Callithrix jacchus: one gene and its partner. The protein of the gene in region 2 interacts with the protein of the main gene of each other region in a pairwise test. Links are inferred from orthologs where the notes say so. Each region holds a gene or a part of one and is shown on either strand. Other genes may lie near its edges.

Region 1 (10,597 bases), on a different chromosome or scaffold from region 2:
AATTTTTTGTATTTTTAGTAGAGACGGGGTTTCACCATGTTGACCAGGATGGTCTCGATCTCTTGACCTTGTGATCCACCCCCCTCAGCCTCCCAAAGTGCTGCGAAGAACATTTTTATTTCTTACCCAACTTCAAATTTTTAATATAATCCATAGTATGAAATATATTTTAATTCATAGCCTGAGACACTATACATGCAACTGAAAACAAGTATTTTGACTGAACAGTATCCTTACTGTAAACAGTACTTTACCAGAGTACATATAGTCTGAATAGCCTCTAACTAAAAAAAAAATTGCAACCTGGTAAATGAATTTCATGACCAGACTACTATACTAAGCATCAGGTATGGACTAAGATATAAAGTTATTACACCTTTTCATTGGATAAAAAGTAAAGTGGAAATTAAGTTATACATTTTTCTCTCTTCATAGGACATTGGCCCTCTGGATTATCAAGAGTTTGTAGCTGACATTGAATCCAGGCTGAGGATGGAAGGTGTGGAACTTAAAGAAGAATGGCAAGATGAAGATTTTCCAATGTGAGCAGCGCTTTTAAATGAAAACAACTTTAGAACAAAACTTCCAAAGTTCTTTATTGAGATATCACTTTTTTGTTTTTTTTTTTTTGAGACAGAGTCTCACTCTGTCGTCCAGGTTGGAGTGCAGTATTGCAATCTCAGCTCTCTGCAACATCCGCCTCCTGGGTTCAAGCAGTTCTCCTGCCTCAGCCTTCCGAGTATCTGGGACTACAGGCATGTGCCACCATGCCCAGCTAATTTTTGTGTTTTTAGTAGAGACTGGGTTTCACCATATTGGCCAGGCTGTTCTCGAACTCCTGACCTCGTGATCCACCCACCTGGGCTTCCAAAAGTGGTAGGATTACAGGCGTGAACTACCATGCCCCTCCGAGATATCACTTTTTAGGTGAATATTTGGCTTCTTAAACTCAGTAATCCAAGGTGATCCTGTGATTCTAGGAAGGAGAAGTTTCTTTTCAACAGTTAGATGGACTCTCTTGTATCTTACTTTCCAACCAAACATACATGTAGTCTTCTATGATCTTTCATTTTTGTTTTGATCATTCAAGTCTCCAAACGTTTGTCTCCTGCTTGTTGTTCTTGTTGAGATGGAGTCTTGCTCTGTTGCCCAGGCTGGAGTGCAGTGGCACAATCTCAACTCACTGCAACCTCCGCCTCCGAGGGACAAGCAGTTCTTCTATCTCAGCCTCCCAAGTAGCTGGGATTACAGGCATGTGCCAGCACACCTAATTTTTTTTTTTTTTGTATTTTTAGTAGAGATGGGTTTTACAATATTGGCCAGCCTGGTCTTGAGCTCCTGACCTCGTGATTCACCCACTTTGGCCTTGCAAAGTGCTGGGATAACAGGCGTGAGCCACTACACGTGGCCCGTTTTTTTCTCTTTAAACTAAGTCTGAGGGATTCCTCAGAGAAGGCGGTCTTTAGTTGTCTTTAAAATTTTTCTTTAATTTTATGACCAGGTGCAGTGGCTCACATCTGTAATCCCAAGACTTTGGGAGGCTGAGGTGGGCAGATCACTTAGGGCCGGGAGTTTGAGGCCAACCTGGCCAACGTGGCAAAGCGCCATCTCTACTAAAAATACAAAAAATTAGCTAAGTGTGGTGGCATGCACTTGTAGTCCCAGCTGCTTAGAAGCCAGACGCATGAGAATTGCCTGAACCCGGGAGCCAGAGGTTGCAGTGAGGTGAGATCGTGCCATTGCACTCGAGCCTGGGTGACACAGCCAGGCTCTGACTCAAAAATAATAATAATTTTGTGGGATCCCCTCCCCCCGCCAGAAAAGCCTTACTAAGTAAATTAATAAGGGTTTTCTACCTCATCTGGCCAGCCACCTTGACATGTTGCATTCGTGTTTACAATTGTATTGGCACCAGGTAGGCTAATGAAAAGAGGCAAAGGCAGACTTATAATGAAATAGTGCTTCCATGCATAGTGGCCAGAAGATATCCTAGTCCATAATCAGGTGCCTTAGCAGTTGGAAGTTGGACAGCTGAGAGGAGACCTGAGTCTCTGTTGCACGTGGTGGTGATAGTAACATAGGAACGCTGATCTCAGAAGAAATGAACCATTGTTACTGAGTCTCTTGAGTCAAACTTGAGCTTCATACATTGCATCATATGTCGCATTATATTTGCGCGTTTCAGTTACAGTTGTTTAAAATTTTTACGTTTTATAATTCTATAATACCTACACGTGAGGTATTTATATCTGTTTTTGTGTTACTTATATGTAATAAGTGAGCTCTGACAGTCTGAGAATTTTTAAGGCGTAACCAAGCATAGCAGCTCATGCCTATAATCCCAGTGCTTTGGGAGGCCAAGGCAGAAGGATCACTTGAGACCAGCCTGGGCAATATAGCAATCAATACCTGGTCTCTACAAAAAAACCCTAAAAATTAGCCGGGCATGGTGGTGTGCAACTGTAGTCCTAGCTACTCATAAAGCTGAGGCTTTATCTTAAACACTGCTTAGGCTGGGCACAGTGGCTCACTCCTGTAATCCCAACATTTTTGGAAGTTGAGGCGGGAGAATCGTTTGAGCCTAAAAGGCCAGCCTGGGCAACATAGCAAGACTCTGACTCTGCTAAAAATTAGCTGTGTGTGGTGGCACGCACCTGTAGTCCCAAATAGGAGGATCTCTGGAGCCTAGGAGTTAAGGCTGAAGTGAGCCATGATTGTGCCATTGTGCTCCAGCCTAGGTGACGGAGCAAGTCCCTGTCTCAAAAACAACACCGCTTCATTCCATTTTCCACATATGTATTTCTGTAAGCTGTATGTTTAATAGATTGAACTTGAAAAAAATTCTTTCTTAATTTCTGCGTTAAAAAGTGTGCCTGTGTCTTCTAGACCTTTACCAGAAGATGATAGTACCGAAGCAGATATACTGGCTATAACTGGACCAGAGAACCAGCCTGGTAAGAGCTTAACACTTTTACTTTCAATGAAATGATGGACTTTGTGATTTTTTTTTTTAAACACATTTTTTTATCCAAAAAAAAAAAAACCAACTTGAGTTTGTATTCCATTGTAGAAGTCAATGTATAAGCTTAACATTGAGGAAAGCATTTTTAGAATGCGTTAAAAAATTAACTTCCCAAAACATATGCTTGGTTTTTGGAAAGTTTTACAGTAAACAGGTGGGAGGAGATCATTTTTATTGGTAAGAGGTCTCTATAAGGTCTGCCTCTATTTAAAAAACATTGATAATTTATTGAGCTTTTGCCAACAATGTAGAAGCAGGAGTGATCAGAATCAAAATTTTGTAAGTAGGTGCTTTGAAGTTATGTTTAATTGATACTATTTTTCCCCGAGTGGAGTAGTTAAAATGTTTCATATTCATCTTTAATATCTAAGCGTTTTTTGTTACATATCTTTTTCTTTATTTTCCAATTCCAGGTTCCCTAGAAGTCAATGAAAATAAAGTGAGAAAGAAACTAATGCCTCCAGACATTAGCCTGACACTGGATCCTAGCGATGGCTCTGTGTTGTCGGACGATTTGGATGAAAGTGGGGAGATTGAGTTAGATGGCTTAGACACACCCTCTGAGAATAGTAATGAGTTTGAGTGGGAAGGTAAATGTTTCACTGTTTTTAATCTCATCTTCATTCATGTATTCAGGGATTTTGCTTGAAGTGTGTGATTCTTTCTGAAGTTCATTTATTTGTTACTAAGATAGGAAATTCTGCTAACACTTGAATATTCTCACAGACTTTAAAACCGTATATAGTAGATGACACCAGTGGTTTCCCCCACTCTTGTTTGCCCAGTGCTGTCACATTTCTTTCATAGTTGCTTAACAAATATTGCTGATGACTATGGCATGCTGAGTTTCAGTGAATCAAGTAAGAAACTTGAAGCAACATATACTTAACAGTTTGTGGGAAGGGGGTTCTGAAAGGCATTTTGGGGGCGACTTTTTAAATAGGCTTGCCTGGTATTGTTCTACTTTGTAAAGTGACCAACTTAAATCAACGTATACTTTTAGCCCCCAGACCTGGTATTCATTGTCATTAATTATTTGTAATTCAAAGGAATTGTCCTGTGTTTTACTTTGCATGCTTTCTTTAATTAGAAAATTGTCTACATATCTTTTATATACTTGTTATAATTTTTATGTATGGTTTTTCCATCTTGAAAATGGTTTTTTTCCCAAAGTAGTGTTTGGCATTCAGTATTTTACTATAACAAAGTGTGATGTGCTGTATTTTGGATTTCTGTTTTCTTCTCTGTTTCACTGGTTCATTGAACAGTCCAGTAGTAAGCAATAGTTTATGAAGATACTGAAACCGTTTTGTGCCTGTGTGTTTTGTCTCTTCTTTCTTCAATGCTGCTGTAGTCATTTCCTGGAAGGATATTTTCCGTTAACAGCTTTGTCTTGGAAACAACTAACATGCAGTAGGTTCCCCCCTTCCCCCATCTTTTGGTAAGGACCATAATACTGAAATTTTGAAAATCATTACTAAATTAAAAATCAGCTAAGCTGCAATCTCAAAACATAAATTACACCTGATCATTCGTGCTTATGCTTTGGCCAATGCTAATTTAAATAGACTTCTGCATGTGTACCTCAGAGTATCGTAAATACATTTCTGCTTTATAAAGCTGATCAAATGAGAAGTGATCACTGCTAGTTAACCACTTCCTATCTGGTATTACAGTTAATTTGTGTGCTCAGCAACAACAACATTGGCTCCCAGATAGCTTCTTGAAGTAACCTAGAGTCATAACTGCCAGGGACAGCACTGTCACAAGTTGAATCTGGAAGGTGTCGTAAGGCCAGTGTGCTAAGATTTTGATGACTCTACGAATTAATATTTTCTGAACTTTGGATATACATTGCACTGTGATTAGGTGGTTTTTTTTGTTGAATTGGGCAATAAAAAAAGTTAAAGAACCATGATTTCCAATGATTTAAGATGGCCTCAAATTAAGAATAAGCCTTTTCCTCCATTATGAAAGAGACGTTTAAAATTGCACTCACTGGCCGTGCGTGGTGGCTCATGCCTGTAATCCAAGCACTTTGGAGGCCAAGGCGGGCGAATCACCTGAGGTTGAGAGTTCAAGACCCGCCTGACCGAAATGGTGAAACCCCATCTTTATTTAAAAAAAATATATAAAATAAAATAAAATTGTGCTCATGAATGAAAATTCTCTGAAAAACCTGGATAGTAAAGTGGTTAACGTATAATTTGATTTTTGTTGTATAACAATTTGTGATTCAAAAACTTTTTATTTTCACAGATGATCTTCCAAAACCCAAGACTACTGAAGTAATTAGGAAAGGCTCAATTACTGAATATACAGCAGCAGAGGAAAAAGAAGATGGACGACGCTGGCGTATGTTCAGGATTGGAGAGCAGGACCACAGGGTTGACATGAAAGCGATTGAACCCTATAAAAAAGTTATCAGCCATGGGGGTAAGAGTTGCTGAGGATTTCTCAGATTGCCTAATGCAATATCAGATTTCTAAATGCTTTTAGAAACTCTGCCTAGAGATATCATGTAATTTTGAAAGAATAATAAACATTTCTCATATCAGTTTAGAAACATGACAGGTTTAAAGTAGAAGAATGAAGCTACCATTTAAAATCATTATATGCATACCGTAAGTTGAAAAAGTACAAAAGAATCTGTAGGGAACACTGTCAGCTTGCACAGTGGCTCAGGCCCATAATCCCAGCAATTTGAGAGGCTGAGGCAGGAGGATTACCTGAGCTCAGGAGTTCAAGGCCAGATTGGGCAACGTAGACATGGTTGCCACAAAAAAATAAATAAATAAATAATAGCCAGAAGCAGTGGCATATGGGGTGGGAGGAGAGAGAGCTTGAGCTTGGGAAGTTGAGGCTGCAAGTGAGCCGTGATCATGCCACTGCACTCCAGTTTTTTCTTTTGTTTGTTTTGTTTTTTGACAGACCCTGTCTCAAAAAAAATTTTTTTAACTGTCATCAGGCCACCGAAAACTGGGACTGTCCTTTCTCCCTAAGTTATAAACAGTGAAGTGCTCTGATCTTAAGTGTACAGTTCAGTGAGTTTTGGCAAATACATATCCATGTATATAACCCACACCCCTAAATGTATAGAACATTTTTAGTGTCCCAGAAGAATTTTTTAATACCCCTTCCCAGTAAATACTCACTTCCAGTAGCCACTATTATACCTACCCCCAATTAGTTTCGCCTGTTCTAGAATTTCATGTATGGTAACTAAAATCATCCTATGCATTCTTTGGTCTACTTTTCAGCATGACGTTTTTGAGATTAATCCATATGATTGCACATGTCCACAGTTCATTCCTTCTTATTGCTGAGTAGTTTTCCATTGCATGGAGAAACCATAATTTGCTTATCCATTCTTTTTTTCGATGTGCATGTGAGTTGTTTCTAACTTGGGCAATTATAAACAAATGGCTTTGAACATTCTTGAAGTCTTTTTGTGGATATAAGTAAAACTTGGACTTTTAAACTTGTAACTCTTAGTTTACCTTAAAATTCTGAACAAATTATTTTTTAATAGAGAACTAGTTCACTCCACATTTTTATAGAGCACCCACTTTGCATATTTATGGGATATACAAAAATACAAGGTTTAAGTCCCTTAAGAAATAAGAAAAGCTATATAAGTTTAAGTTATAAATCCTTTCAGTCTAACAGCACCATGTATAGAAGTTTACCTAGGCGTGTTGTAAATAGTGCTGGAATGTTAGTGCCAAGTCAGAACACAACTCACTATAGAGTATGTCATACTACTTTAAATTCTCCTAACGCAGGACAGCGGGGCACATGGGTCAAGCAGATTGATTTTTTTTTTCTAAGTTATTTCCACTTAATTTACTCGCTGCCAAATGCATTCCCCTGCTTATTTCTATAGTCTTCATTCATCTGAAAAAGGAAATCACATGAATATTTGTAGTTGCATTCTTCTGCCTCATTTAGTCTTACTCAGATGAAGAAAATGGCATCATGTGGATCTGGAAGCCCACAGACACACATTATTCCGCCAGCTTATAGGAATCGAACTATAGGACCTGATTTATAGCTTGCATCTTTATCTTTCAGACATAGCACTTTTTTGTAGGGGAAGTAATCAAGGCCACCTTATCCTTTTGCATCACCACAATGTATTTTGTGACTGAGTGCTTAAGAAGGATAGCGAAGATTCTGATGTTGTTGAAATGTTCAAATCTTTTCACGTGCAAATTTGTAAACAATAGAAATGAAAGTTACAGCAGATGTGTTTGTTACTAATTATAGGCTTAATATCTGAAGACTGCAGTTGAAGCATAGACATTTTAGCACTGTTTTTTGTTACTGAAAATTATGTCAGAGATGTAATTTACTTTTTTTTTTTTTGAAACCAAGTCTTACTCTGTCACCCAGGCTGGAGTGCAGTGGTGCAGTCTCGGCTCACTGCATCCTCTGCCTCCCAAGTAGCTGGGGCTACAGTTCCACACCACCACTCCCAGCTAATTTTTTATATTTTTACTAGAGATGAGGTTTCGCCATTTTGGTCAGGCTGATCTTCAACTCCTGGCCTCAAGTGATCTGCCTTCCTCAGCTTCCCATAGTGCTTGTGTTACAAGCATGAGCCACTATGCCTGGCCTAATTTAGTTTTGATGTCCTAAATTCTATACAGTGCTAGCATTTTTAAATATAAAACTTATGTTTTAAAAATCACCCACTTATGGGTCTGGTGAGGTGGCTCATGCCCAGCGCCAAAGGAGGAGGACTGCTTAAGGCTAGGAGTTCAAGACCAATCTGAGCAACACACTGAAACTCTGTCTCTACAAAAATTTTTTAAAAAAATTAACCACGCATGTTTGTGTGCACTGTAGCCTCAGCTCCTCTGGAGGCTGTAAGGTGGGAAGATCCCTTGAGCATAGAAGTTCGAGGCTGCATGAGCTGTGATTATGCCACTGTACTCCATCCTGGCCAATAGAGCAAGACGCCTATCTCCACAATATTTTAAAATTAAAAAGTACCCACTTTAACCATAAGTGTGCATATATATGTGTGTGATGTGTGTGTGTGTGTGTGTGTGTGTATATTAAACTTTAAAATGTTGTATAGTGTTGGTATTGTATTGGGTTATATCACTGTATTTGTCTACTTGATAAAATGTGACTACGTTTTAAGTATGCTTATTTAAGTGGTCTTGGGGGTTTTTTTGTTTTTTTTTTTTTTTGTCCACTGTCCTCTTTAAATTTTACTGTTCTCTTTTGGGGAAGAAGAAATTTAAAATTCTATGTAAGACCATATAAGATTTGCAAAACATACATTTTAATTCATAAGTTTGTGAGAGGTAAACTCTTATTTATAATTTACCAATCATACAGATGTCTTCTGAAAATTCCTAAGAGTGAAATCATGCTGGTGATAGTGTGTTTGGTGTCTTTTTCAGGATATTATGGGGATGGATTAAATGCCATTGTCGTGTTTGCTGTCTGTTTCATGCCTGAAAGTAGTCAACCTAACTATAGATACCTGATGGACAATCTCTTTAAGTAAGTATATATTTAACAAAAACATTTGGACAGAATTTTGAGCTAGTTAGATCTACACCTTAAGAAACTTAAGGTGTGTAAAAATTATAAATATCCAAGTTCCTTGGGAGACTGAGGTGGGCGGATCACTTGAGTCCAGGAGTTGGAGACTAGCCTGTGCAACATAACAAAGCCCTCTCTCTACAAAAACAAAAAATTAGCCAGGCATGGCGATAAGGGCCTGTAGCCCCAGCTACTCAGGAGCCTGGCGTGGGGGATCACCTGAGCGTGTGAGGTCAAAGCTGCAGTGAACTGTGATTTTGCCACTGCAGTCTAGTCGGGGTGACAGAGTAAGACCCTCTCTCAGAAAAATAAACATCCCAGTTCTGAAAGTGTCCGAATTTTTCAAGTGCAAGTTTGTGAATGATAGAAATGAAGAGTAAAGCAAAAGTATTTGTTACTAGATACGGGACTAGATGAGTCCTTATTCTCTGACATTATGAGATAATAGTTTTCCAACTCAAGAGAAAAATTGTCATTTTAAAACTGGGAAATTGTCATATCTCCGATTTGTTGTTCCAACTTTTTTTTGTTTTGAGACGGAGTTTCACAGTGTCACCCTTCCTGGAGTTCACTGGTACAACGACGGCTCCCTGCACCCTTGACCTCACGGGCTCAAGCCATCCTCCTACCTCAGCCTCCCTAGTGGCCGGGACTACAGGCACATGTCACCACATCCACCTGACTTTTTTTATTTTTGGTAGAGACAGGATCTGACTAGGTTGCCAGGGTTGGTCTCAAACTCCAGGCTTCAAGTAAGCCACCATGCCCCACCTATCCCAGCTTTTTAATTTTACATTTGCAGGTACATTAAGTGTGAAGAAGTGATTTTTGTCTCAAAATCATGTGGCTAAATTACATTCACCCCTAGAAGGCCAGTATAACTGAGCTGAATCAGTTCTGTTTCCACAGGATCATTCTGTTTCTCGGGTTAATCCAGTTTTTAAAAACTTTATTGTGGAAAATTTTAAACATTCACAAGGGTAAAGAGAAGTAAATCAAATGTTCAACAATTATCAGTTTAAAGTTCGTTCCCACTTCTCCCCTCAGTATATACTTTTGAAGCAGATCCCAGAAGCAAATCATTTTCTTCTAAAAACATTTTCATATATATCTCTTAAAAAGTAACATTTTAAAATGATCGTAATACCAGCTAATGCAGTTTGAGCATTTTCATTGTTTGCTTTCCTTGTAGAGGAGAGAAAGAAATTGTACATGGAGACTCTAGTTCAGTTCTACACAGTGATTTTAAGGCTTAAACTTAATCTGTTTTTTACAGATATGTTATTGGCACTTTGGAGCTATTGGTAGCAGAGAACTACATGATCGTTTATTTAAATGGTGCGACAACTCGAAGAAAAATGCCCAGTCTGGGGTGGCTCAGGAAATGTTATCAGCAAATCGATAGAAGGTAATACAAACACAAGTTAAAAGCTAGTCTGGAAAGTTTTTATAATGGCTTTAGTAGATCAAACTTTGTTTTCTGTTGCTATTTAAAAACATTTATTTTTAAAATTTCATTTATTAATTTCATGAGAGGTTTCTGTTTTCTGAAGATAGCATTTTAGAACGTTACGAGGGAAATCAATTTTGATTTTTCTGTAAAGAATAACCTTAATTCGTAAAGTAGCTCCACATTTCTCCTCGTTTATAAGGAGACATTTTCTCCACATTGAACACTTTTCTACTGTTTACATCTTGGGAAAGGATGGAGAATGTCATATGTTTCCTATGTTATGACATTCTGAGCTTTGCCTCATTTATAGTGCTCAGCTTGTTGTATGTTTTTGTTTTGTGCTTTGCTTTGAGACAGGGTCTCACTCTGTCACCCAGGCTGGACTGCAGTGGTGCAATCTCTGCTCACTGTAGCTGTGACCTTCCAGGCTCAGATGATTCTCCCACCTCAGCCTCCCAGGTAGCTGGGACTCCAGGCATGTATCACCACAGCCAGCTAATTTTAGTATTTTTTGTAGAGACAGCGTTTCAACATGTTGCCCAGGCTGGTTCTCTAACTCC
Region 2 (10,597 bases):
CCGAATAAAATCCCAGGAGTATTCCAAAGGGAGCAGCTTCTTGTACAAAGCTCCATGAGGTGTCTTTCATAAACCTCCATTTGGTTCCCTCTTCCCTGACTCTCCCTCCTCTGCTCACTTCCCCCTGCACCCCTTTTTAGTCCTTGTTTCTGAGGTCATTTAAAAGTTTGAGAAAGTGCTCTACTCCCGAGGTGCTCCCATAGGTAATCCCGGGAGAAGTGTGCCCTGTTTTCTGAGTCGTGACTATCACTGAGACGTGACTGAGACGTGACTATCACTGCAACACTGTCACAGTAAAGGCCAGGCACTCAGCCAAAATCACCTTAGGCTCAGCTTGAGGAAGCTCAACTTTAAGTAAAAAATTCCCAACGTCTTAAGAACAGACAGATTTAAATAACTGTTTTCCCTAATATGTTTTCTTTCAAGCATTTTCCTGAAAGCAAATATCATGTCTTAGACAAAGATTTAAGAGCTCAAATTGTTTTATTTAAAGAACATTTCTTAGTTCCATTTATGGTTAGGGCTGATATTCTGCTTACGTTGTTAATTCCATTTGGTGCTAATAGTTCAGTAACATGCTAGTGGTAAATTATGCTTAGACTGTGTCTATAATCTGAGAGGCAGAGATGATAAAAGTTGAGTTTTCTGTGTGTAAATACTAAGTTACTCATGGGTGATATGGTTCATGTTTACCTAAATAGAAAGCTTAGGAATATAAAGTCTCCTAGCATATAATGTAACTAGTATTTTAGTAATAAAGAGAAGCAAGGTTGAAATCCAAATTTTCAACTTCTTTACAGTCTTAGACTAGGACTTTATAAAATTAACATTTTAAAACTCACCTGGATCGTTCGTATAAAGGCCACTGTTACCCGTTCTTCAAATTCATTCAGGGGAGTGTAAAGGTTTAAAATTTTGACAATCTATTGGGGTAAAAACAGAATTTAGCACAGCACTAAATGAACATGAGACAACTTTTGAACTTTAATATGGGACATTGGGACAAGAGTATGATCCTCTTTAGACAAGGCTCACAACACAGACAGAGCTGGACTGACCTTCACACTTGGAGCCTGCATCCAGGTAACTAGAGCCCACAGCTTTGCCAGGTGGATCTGAGCCCTCTCACGGAACTCATGTCTCTTGTAAAGCCACCTGCCCCTTCTCACTATGGTCACTGGTATACACAATGGGAGGCGTTTAGAATGCGGTTGCCTGAAATACTCAGCCTGTTATCTACTAGTAATTTAAAGGTTTCTTCTGAAGAGTACTGTAGATCTTACCTTAGATGAGAAAGGTCTTGTTAACACCTAACTACCCCATCTCCTAAAATTGTTTACAAATGAGAATTTGAACAGGAGATACTCTTTTGTCTGCCTACTAATGGTTTGGTGGAAGTAGGCTGCCCAAATGCAATGCTGGCTACATTCTAGAAGCAAACTTATATAAGTGAAATGTATATAAAAGGGAAAAAAATGTGGCCGGGTGTGGTGGCTCACATCTGTAATCCCAGCACTTTGGGAGTTCGAGGTGGGTGGATCACCTGAGGTCAGGAGTTCAAAACCAACCTAGCCAACATGGCAAAACCCCGTCTCTACTAAAAAAAAAAAAAAAAATTAGCTGGGTATGGTGGCAGGTGCCTGTAATCCCAGCTACTTAGGAGGCTGAGGCAGGAGAATCGCTTGAATCCGGGAGGCGGAGATTGCAGTAAGCTGAGATTGTGCCATTGCACTCCAGTCCCAACAAGAATGAAACTCTGTCTCAAAAAAAAAAAAAAAAAAAGAAAAGGAGAAAAATGTTTGAAGACTTTCTGTAAATGTGTACAAAAGGAGGCAGTTTTCTTAAGAGTTCAATATTTAATCTTTTAGTAGCTAGTGGAGGAGGTAAGGAAAAGTTAACTTTGTATATTAAGATGTGTTTACTTTTCTGTACTGAGTTTGGATTTTGTTATTTATCTTTTAGGGACTAGCGATAAATCTGCAACTGACTCATAGTTACACATTTTTTAGGGATAAGGAAAGTAACATTTGAATGCCCCTAGGTTCTTAATGACTTCATTTAAAACAATATAAATGGAGTGTGAGTGGAAATGTGACCATATTGAAATTAGTTTTAAATAAACCGGTTTTTCTTACAATTATAGTTGTAAAGAAAGCAAATACCGGATGCTGCCAATTTCTGAAAATTTATAAATTTCTACATAAGAAATATTCCAGAATTCATTATATTTTAAAAAGTTTTTACCTAAGCTTAATGTTTTGCGGGTTTGCTGTCTTATCTTTTAAAGTGAGTAAGAGGGATAGGGAGACTAGAAAGCAGTATTCATGGCATCTTGTTTCACACACAAATGGCCTTTGGTTCACCTAGGAATATCCCATCAGCTGCACTTCAAAATTGTATCATTAGGGGTATATAAAGGGTGGGAGTACCACACTAACAAATAACCACTAACAAGAACGGATTTGGAATGGACACTGGGCTTGCTTGGAATATCGCGGTTGACAGAGATGCAGAATGATCGGACCTGCTGGGTGCTGAGGGAGGTACACAGGGAACAGATGGCCTCTGCATCCTCCTGGGTTTTCTTCTTTAATTGGAGGAGCTGGGCTGCTTGGATCAGAGGTTCCATGGTCTGAACTGCTCCACTCTGGTGAAGGTTTCTTCCCCGAAGCCACTCCTCAAGCTGACTTATATTGTACCTTAGCCATAGGCAGAAAGCAAGCTGTGTTAAGCTGGTCCTCCTAATTCACCAAGAAGGGGACACCTGTTGTGTTTTACATGTAAGCTGCAGCTAGTGTCATTATGGATCTCACATGGTTAAAAAGCATGGCAAATGCCTTGCACTCAGGGAACTATTTGTTGAATAAAGAATGAATAAATGAATGAGTGGTACATAAAATCAAGCAAAGATGAAATGCCTGAAGTGTCTACATAAGTTAGTGGTGAAAAACAGGCATTAAATATACTGAATTGTAAGTATTTAAACATTCATCCCCGTATTTATACTTCTGTGTGAGTCTTCACGCCTGTTAACTCATTGAGTTTTCTCTCTGACCTATCTGCTTTGTATTTAGTCTTTAACTTAGAGTATGTCAATATCTTTAAGCTTTGAACTAATTTATTTACCAAGTCACCATCTCAGTGTTTGATGGATTTCACCAACAGATAAAAAGGTGATGGACCTGAGTCACAGACTGATGGAGACAAGAATTGCCACTTAGATTTGGATTTCATTTTTAGAAACAGCAGTCTTGTGTCCTGATTCTAGCTGGAGTCAGTGAGCACCCACTCTATCTGTGTTGTTGGGGTGCTCCTCTCTTACCTGAGTTGCATGCCTGTGCTCCAAGAGCAGACATCCTTCCGTAGGAGCAGGTTGTTAAGAGTCACTGCATTGATCATGTAGAAGAGCTGTTTGAATACCTGCAGGATGATCTCAGGGTCCAAGCCCTGGTCACACATGACTGTATGAAAGGCATTCATCTGGCGGATGATGGCTTCCAGGCAGTATGAGTTATCTCCATCTGCCATGCTGGAAGAGCGCTTCCGGTAGCCAGTGGGCTTCACACCAGATAGACCCTGAATGCTCTCATTTTCCAACATGGCAGAAACTGAAAGAAAAGCACAATTAGGGAAGCTTGCATTCCTCATGAACAATGCAAAGCTCATTGGACCACTCAGATAATTTAATGTTCGGGGCTTTAGCAGTGATACCATCTAGAGCTGTGCAATGTTGACCCGTTCAGGAACTTTTAACATTTGGCAAAGAACTTCTAATGTGTTGACTTCTATATGGAATAAAACAACTGTGGACAGCATTTTCACTTAAATTTATCGGCGATGAGACAAAGATGATGGGCATGTACCAGCTCGATCCAGTATTGCCTGTGCTAAAGTCCACAGTTTGAGAATTGAGCAACTTGGGAGTCGCCCTGGCCCCGCCACTGACTAAGTAAATATGAACATCATTGGTCTGTCATACCTACTGACAGACCACTAGGGGCTTTATGTTCAGTATCTCTTTTAATCTTCCAACAACTCTATGAAGTACTACTCTTTTTTTTTTTTTTTGGAGATGAAATTTCACTCTGTTGCCCAAGCTGGAGTGCAGTGGCGCAATCTTGGCTCACTGCAACTTTTGCCTCCCGGGTTCATGCGATTCTCCTGCCTCAGCCTCCCTGAGTAGCTGGGACTACAGGCACACGCCACCATGCCCAGCTAATTTTTGTATTTTTAGTAGAGATGGGGTTTCACTATGTTGGCCAGGCTGGTCTCAACCTCCTGACCTCGTGATCTACCTGCCTTGGCTTCCCAAAGTGCTAGGATTACAGGTGTGAGCCACCACACCCGGCAGTACTACCCATTTTTACAAGGCAGTTGAGGCATAAAGACGTTAAATAACTTGCCTGAGTTAGGCACTCAGATAAGACACACTGATGAGGAGTGGCAGGGCTAGGATTTAAACCCAAGTCTGTCTGACTCCAGAACTGGTGCTATTAACCGTCACATTAATCTGAGTATCTCCAGGTTGATATGTCAGTTCTCCCTCTGTCTGGTACCTTATAAAAAGATTTACAGGAAGGAGGGTTTGGAATAAACCTCATTTCAAGTAATGTATTTCTAGATCTGTCCTTCTTGAGATTCACCCATAACCTACTTGTGCTGTGAGAACCTGGGGAAGCAGTTTCCTTCCCAGCCTTTGAAGAGCACAGTGAATAACGCATCTACACAACATTTTGTGAAAATACAAAAATTAGCCGGGCATGGTGGTGTGTGCCTGTAGTCCTCACTACTCCGGGAGGCTGAGACAGGAGAATCGCTTGAACCTGGGAACAGCAGAAAATGTAACTGCTCTCATTTTTTGATTCTTATTTCATGTTCAGTGCCCAAACACACTGCTTGGTTCAAAGCACGTGTCTAATAAATACTGCTGCATCGTGCCTACTGCTGTGTCCTTTTGCATGAACACACTTCTGCTTTCTTTTTTCCATGAATCAAGTTCGTAATAGGTTAAGAGGAGTTTTCCACTGTATATGCATTTGTACCTTTGAGTTTATATTTATTATGTATTAAAATTAATATGGAAAAATACAATATATTACAAAAAGAGAGATAAAGGGAAAGTCCTCTATGCCTCTTTCCCTGTGTCAAATACCCTAGCATCGTTAATTTCATGGGATTTCACAGCTCTTTTAAGCACGATGTGCACCCCTCAGTTCTGCCTTCACTGTGAAGGTTCTGTGTTTAATACATCTGGTTCCCGAAAGGCAGAGGGTGCTGACCACATCTTCCTCTCATTTCAGACCCCATGATGAGTGATGGAGCTCTCCTGCTGCCAGCTTACCTATCATCGGCTGTAACACGCCCTCGGCAATTTTAATGAGCTGCTGGTAGATCTGAATGGAAAGGTCACTCAGCACCTGACGGTATTCAGTGAGGTCAAAGTTCTTAAGACAGTGTTCGTTCTGCTTTGCAGTGTTCTGAGTCATGAAGCCCTGCAGAGGGAGAGGCGTGCACTACTGAGATTCTGTGGTCTGCTAGGCCCAGCACCACTTCCGGGGCTCTGGTCACTTTAGTCATCTATTTGGTGGGCGGGGGACCTACCAATGTCCTTTCTATGTAGTTGATGTTTTACAAAACCCTGTCAGTTCTCTGAGGCCTCACTGATGACCCTTGAACTTCAAGGTAGTAGAAAAACTCAAATGAGAGAGAAGGCCTGAATCATTCAGTCCAAATCCCTGAAGTGAAGTGATTTCCCTATGGTAACAAAACCCAGGTTGGTACCAGGTCCAGAGAAAGGGATCCCTGCTCTCTAACTTCGTCCAGTGCTCTCCCCAATATACCAGGTCCCCCTAAAGTGTTACATGAGATGCAGCCTCTAAAGGAGTGTGGCCATGGGCCAGATGGTATGTTTGTGTAGGGGGACATCTTTTACAGATTCTATCACTGGGTATCAGAATGAACAGATGAACTAAATTGATTTCATAGCTACAGCAGTGTGTCCTCTTAGCTTTCCATATTAATCAGATGAAATAACATGTAAGTTAAGAGAACTGCTGATATCAGAAGGACGCATGTGACCAATGTCCTTTTCAGACAGGGCAAGGGAGAAACCAAGAGCAGCCAAAAAGATTAGTGCTCCCAAAAGTGTGACCATCTTCAGCAAGGCCAGTTGTACTGTGTCAAATACAAAACCATCTTAATATGAACAAAACCAGGCAGAAGAGGGGATAACTGTAATCACGGAGATAGATTTGTTCATTCTTCCTTGTTTGTGGACTACACGGATCTGGTTATGCTGTGGTTCAGGTCTTGCCCCAGAGAATATAAGCACCTGAAGCAATAGCCCAATGTAATAGAGTTCTAGGCCCTGCCCTAGCCTTATTTAGAATGTATAGAACATTGGGTAAAGTGATGGACCTCAATGAAATAACATTACATGTAGTTCTATGCTTCAAGTAAATGCTTGGATATTATGATTTTGTAACAGAAGGCATGTGGTTTGAAATGGCTGTTTCTTCAACCTTTTGCCCATCTCTTTTAGAATAAAAGCAGGCCATCAAATGCAGTTCTTATTCCTAGGAGAGATATGGAGTCAAGCCAACCACAAAGAAGGTTCTACTATAAGGACACATGCACACAAATGTTCACTGCAGCACTGTTTACAATAGCAAGGACCTGGAATAAACCCAAATGCCCATAGATGATAGGCTGGACAGGAAAAATGTGGCACATATACACCATGGAATATTATGCAGCAATCAAAAATGATGAGTTTATGTCCTTTGTAGGGACATGGATGAACCTGGAGAACATCATTCTCAGCAAACTGACACAAGAACAGAAAATGAAATACCGCATGTTCTCACTCATGGGCGGGTGTTGAACAATGAGAACACATGGACACAGGGAGGGGAGCACTACACACTGGGGTCTGTTGGGGGGAATAGGAGAGGGACAGCGGGGTTTGGGGAGTTGGGGAGGGATAGAATGGGGAGAAATGCCAGATATAGGTGAAGGGGAGGAAGGCAGCAAATCACACTGCCACGTGTGTACCTATGCAACTATCTTGCATGTTCTTCACATGTACCCCAAAACCTAAAATGCAATAAAAAAATAATAATAAAAAAAGAAGGTAACACTGAATGGAAAGGCACATCCTGTTATAATCCAGGGAGAAGGGTCTGTCAAAATTGGTTCTTTATTCCAAAAGATGGAATAAAGCTTTAAAAATGGTCACACTATTTTGGTTTACACTATGCCTTGACCTGGGGAAGGGTAGATGGTGGGATATGTGAAAGGAAGCGGAGGAAATATCAGGAAGACCTACAGGAATCTGTGAGTGAGCATGTCTGGAACGACTTGGGATTCTCACCAGAGAAACAAGAATGGAAACAAGTCACGTATTACTAAGTCATTGGGCAGAGTGCAGAGCACTGGAGAAGTTCTTTCAGGGACCAAAGCTGGGAATGTGAGTTCCAGAAAAAGCTGGGCCTTACAGGTTCAGTGTGGAATGTGAAGTGATGGGGTCAGTTGGGCCTCAGGTCAAGGAATCCAATTTGGATGAAGGCATGGAGCTGGGCCTCCAGGCTAGTTTGTACACATGTAGTTCTGATTATGGGTGCCTCTTTTCTTGCGGCCATCTTTGTCTATCTTGAAATGGACAGATAATTTGGATGGCTTAGGAGACAGGTGACCCACTAAGCAACTGAGCTTCCTGCCAGTATCCATTGCAGTGGGGCTCTTCTAGAGCTGCTTAAGAAATAGAAGGTTACAAGGTTTTCATGGAGACTCCCAGGGCCTCTATGGATGATGGGTTATGAAGACCCTACTTACATAACCCAGGAGTAATTTCTGAGGCCCCTTGGGCTCATCAAGGTCTCCTGGAGGCAGGTCTCCTGTGGCTGGCTTTATTCCTGCTTCCAGCCACCAGGTATGATAAGGTGTGCCCATGGTCTGAGGTCCCCAAGGGTGCTCCGAAGACCCAACTGACCTCTCCTGAGGGGATACAAAGCACTTCTCAACCGCATTTGAATGAAGAAGGGACGCCTCCTGGGTGGCCAGCTCCCCACTCACCTCATCCCCGCTGTACTGCTTCAGACAGTGAAGAAGGCGGCAGGTGTTGGATAACCAGAATGATGTCATCTCAAAGTCATCATTGTGCTTCTGTGAAAAGAAAAGGACATCCCCAGCTTAAGTGGCTCCCGTCTGGTGAGATGCTTCCTCGGTACCTCTCTCCCCACATTTCCTACTCTTATCCAGCATTCCTGAGCAGCCCTGAGGGTGGGCAGGGCACTTGCCAGTCACGGGAATGAGACCCATTGCTGAGAGGCTGTGTGACTAATCCTCTGCCAACAAGCATGTACACAGAACCCCTGTCTTGGTCCCCTGATCAGTGGTGCACATACAGCTGTCCTTCAAAATTGTATCATTGACACACAGAAAGGACAGGCCACCTTCCATGGCTGAAGAATGAATGCAAAGCTGAGTGACAGATGAGGCTCAGCCCCAGCAGCCCTGGGCTCTCGTCTAACTGCCTGGGCTAGCTGGCTCTGTTTCTAAACTGCTGGTTACTCGATACAAGGGATTCTAAAAGAGCATGCCAACAAAATATTTTGGTGTCCCATTATCTAGAGGACAGTTGTGTCATGCTTTAACTCTCTAGGAAAAGGCTACAAACCCTAACTAGGTGAAAAAGCCTGTTCAGCAACCCAAACAGCTATGAGACAGCTGCTGCATTAGCACTGATGACCTCATGCAGCTCATTCTGTCAAATAAGTGTCATTATTTAAATGTCAGAATGGTGTGAGGTACAACAACGACGACAAAATAATAATGAGGTTGAATAGAAAGTGACTGGTGGGACTGGGACATGCTCTTTTAGCTTGGAATTAGGGAAGGCTTTCCTAAGGAAGTGACATTTGTGTCAGCCTTAAACTGGCCTAGACTGGCCCAAGATTCCAGCCAGATGGTACTCATGAAAGAGGGTCAAGGCTGGAGACACAAACCTGAGAGCCACTAGCATAGAGATGTATGCTTTAGGGCCATGAGTGGATAAGATTGCCTGTGGACAATGCAGCTACTGAGGGCAGGAAACCAGACTTAAAGGCTGGCTCTGGAATTCTCAGAGTAGCAACCAGCAGCTCAGTGGACCCCAGAATTGGTCTGGACTCAGAGCTTTTGAGAATGGCTTGTATCCTGGAAGCAGTAGTGTGTGAGAACTAAGACGGTCTCTAAGAGCAGTACCACTCCGGGCACAGGCCTGCTAGAAGGCAGAAATCCCTCTTATTGAGGGCTCATCTCCCTCAGGAATCTCACCTCCCACTGCCTGGCCCTCACCCTGAGTGGAAAGGCCTCACCTCCCTGCAGGTCAGCCTGTTTCTCAGTGGCAGCTGCACTACATTCACCAAAAGCCTTGTGCCTATAGGTGGCATTGCTGAGCAACTTTAACAGCCTGCAGGCAGCCCTGTCCTGTGGGCTGCCTTACCTTGGAAGGTGATGATGTCACAACTCTCCCTGTCTCATCCCCCAGGGAAGCAAGCACTCAAGAAAGGTGGAGAGGGCCCATGTTCCAGGGGTGTCCCCAAACTTGGTCCAGGGCAAGGCCCACACACCCCTGGCAGCAGCAGGATATCTCCCTAGCATATCTGGCAGTGGGCAGGCCAAGGCTTCTGTAGGTTCTGGGCATGTCTGGAGCTTCAGCAGGGAGGGGCTGGAGGGCTACCTACACCACAGTCCTGGGCTTCCTGACACTGCTGGGCTTAAGCATCCTTCTCTGGGAACTGCCAGGCATTGGGTTACATGGATGCTTCTGTGCCTCATTTACCTTCAAAGTTGGAGCCTGGGGAGAATTCACTACAGCCAAACCCAGACACAGAGAAGAAATGGTGAGTGGCTAGCTTTGCCCGCCCATCAAAAACCCAGACACAGAGAAGCAATGGTGAGTGGCTGGCTTTGCCCGCACATCAAAAACCCAGACACAGAGAAGCAATGGTGAGTGGCTGGCTTTGCCCGCCCATCACAAACCATGGTCTTCTGCAGAGGCCGCTTACCTTCAGGACTTTCTTAATGCCGTTGATGGTGGAGGTCAGCAGGGCGTGCACCTTGAGATCGTCGTTGGTGTAGTCTGCGTGCCGGATGCACATGTAGAGGATGTAGGCGGGGAGACAGGGCACCGCACCCGACAGCATCTGGGGCTTCAAGTCTAAGGGCAACGACAGCAGCAAGCGGGGAGGCTGTCAGAATCCTCATCTGAATAGAGCTGTTTTCAGTATCTCCCCACAGCTCATCTAGGAATAGAGGTCTCAAAGAGGATTGGGAGAGAAGCCACCCAGGGTACACAAACTGCTGAGCCTGAAACCAGTAGTTTCAGATATTTGTGGTTAAAAACCCAAACAAACAAAACCACACTCCTAATTGTACTACAACACTCAAACAGGCTTCTAACACCTCAGGCTTATAACATGGAGGAAAAGCGCCTGCAGGTTACACGATGCATTGATCCGCTGCCAACAGGGGCCCATGGCAAAAGGAAGGCTGAGGACAGGACCTAGTTCCCACACCAGGTGGGAACTCCTGATTCTCGGCCATCACCACTTCC

Evidence for each region.
Region 1: the proteins of MYO5B (region 2) and BNIP2 interact in binary tests that used the Homo sapiens proteins (3 or more experiments, as listed by UniProt). The two-hybrid records come from large-scale screens. The link is inferred for Callithrix jacchus from reciprocal best matches to the Homo sapiens genes MYO5B and BNIP2.

Annotation. Positions count from the first base shown.
Region 1 is NC_133509.1:6,427,965-6,438,561, reverse strand, and holds part of BNIP2 (BCL2/adenovirus E1B 19 kDa protein-interacting protein 2), read left to right. Parts: intron 1-435; 5' UTR 436-492; coding exon 493-542; intron 543-2,886; coding exon 2,887-2,954; intron 2,955-3,435; coding exon 3,436-3,612; intron 3,613-5,281; coding exon 5,282-5,458; intron 5,459-8,439; coding exon 8,440-8,542; intron 8,543-9,860; coding exon 9,861-9,992; intron 9,993-10,597.
Region 2 is NC_133514.1:92,986,240-92,996,836, forward strand, and holds part of MYO5B (unconventional myosin-Vb), read right to left. Parts: intron 10,202-10,597; coding exon 10,050-10,201; intron 8,164-10,049; coding exon 8,074-8,163; intron 5,493-8,073; coding exon 5,342-5,492; intron 3,609-5,341; coding exon 3,323-3,608; intron 2,700-3,322; coding exon 2,525-2,699; intron 924-2,524; coding exon 843-923; intron 1-842. UniProt on the Homo sapiens protein: May be involved in vesicular trafficking via its association with the CART complex. The CART complex is necessary for efficient transferrin receptor recycling but not for EGFR degradation.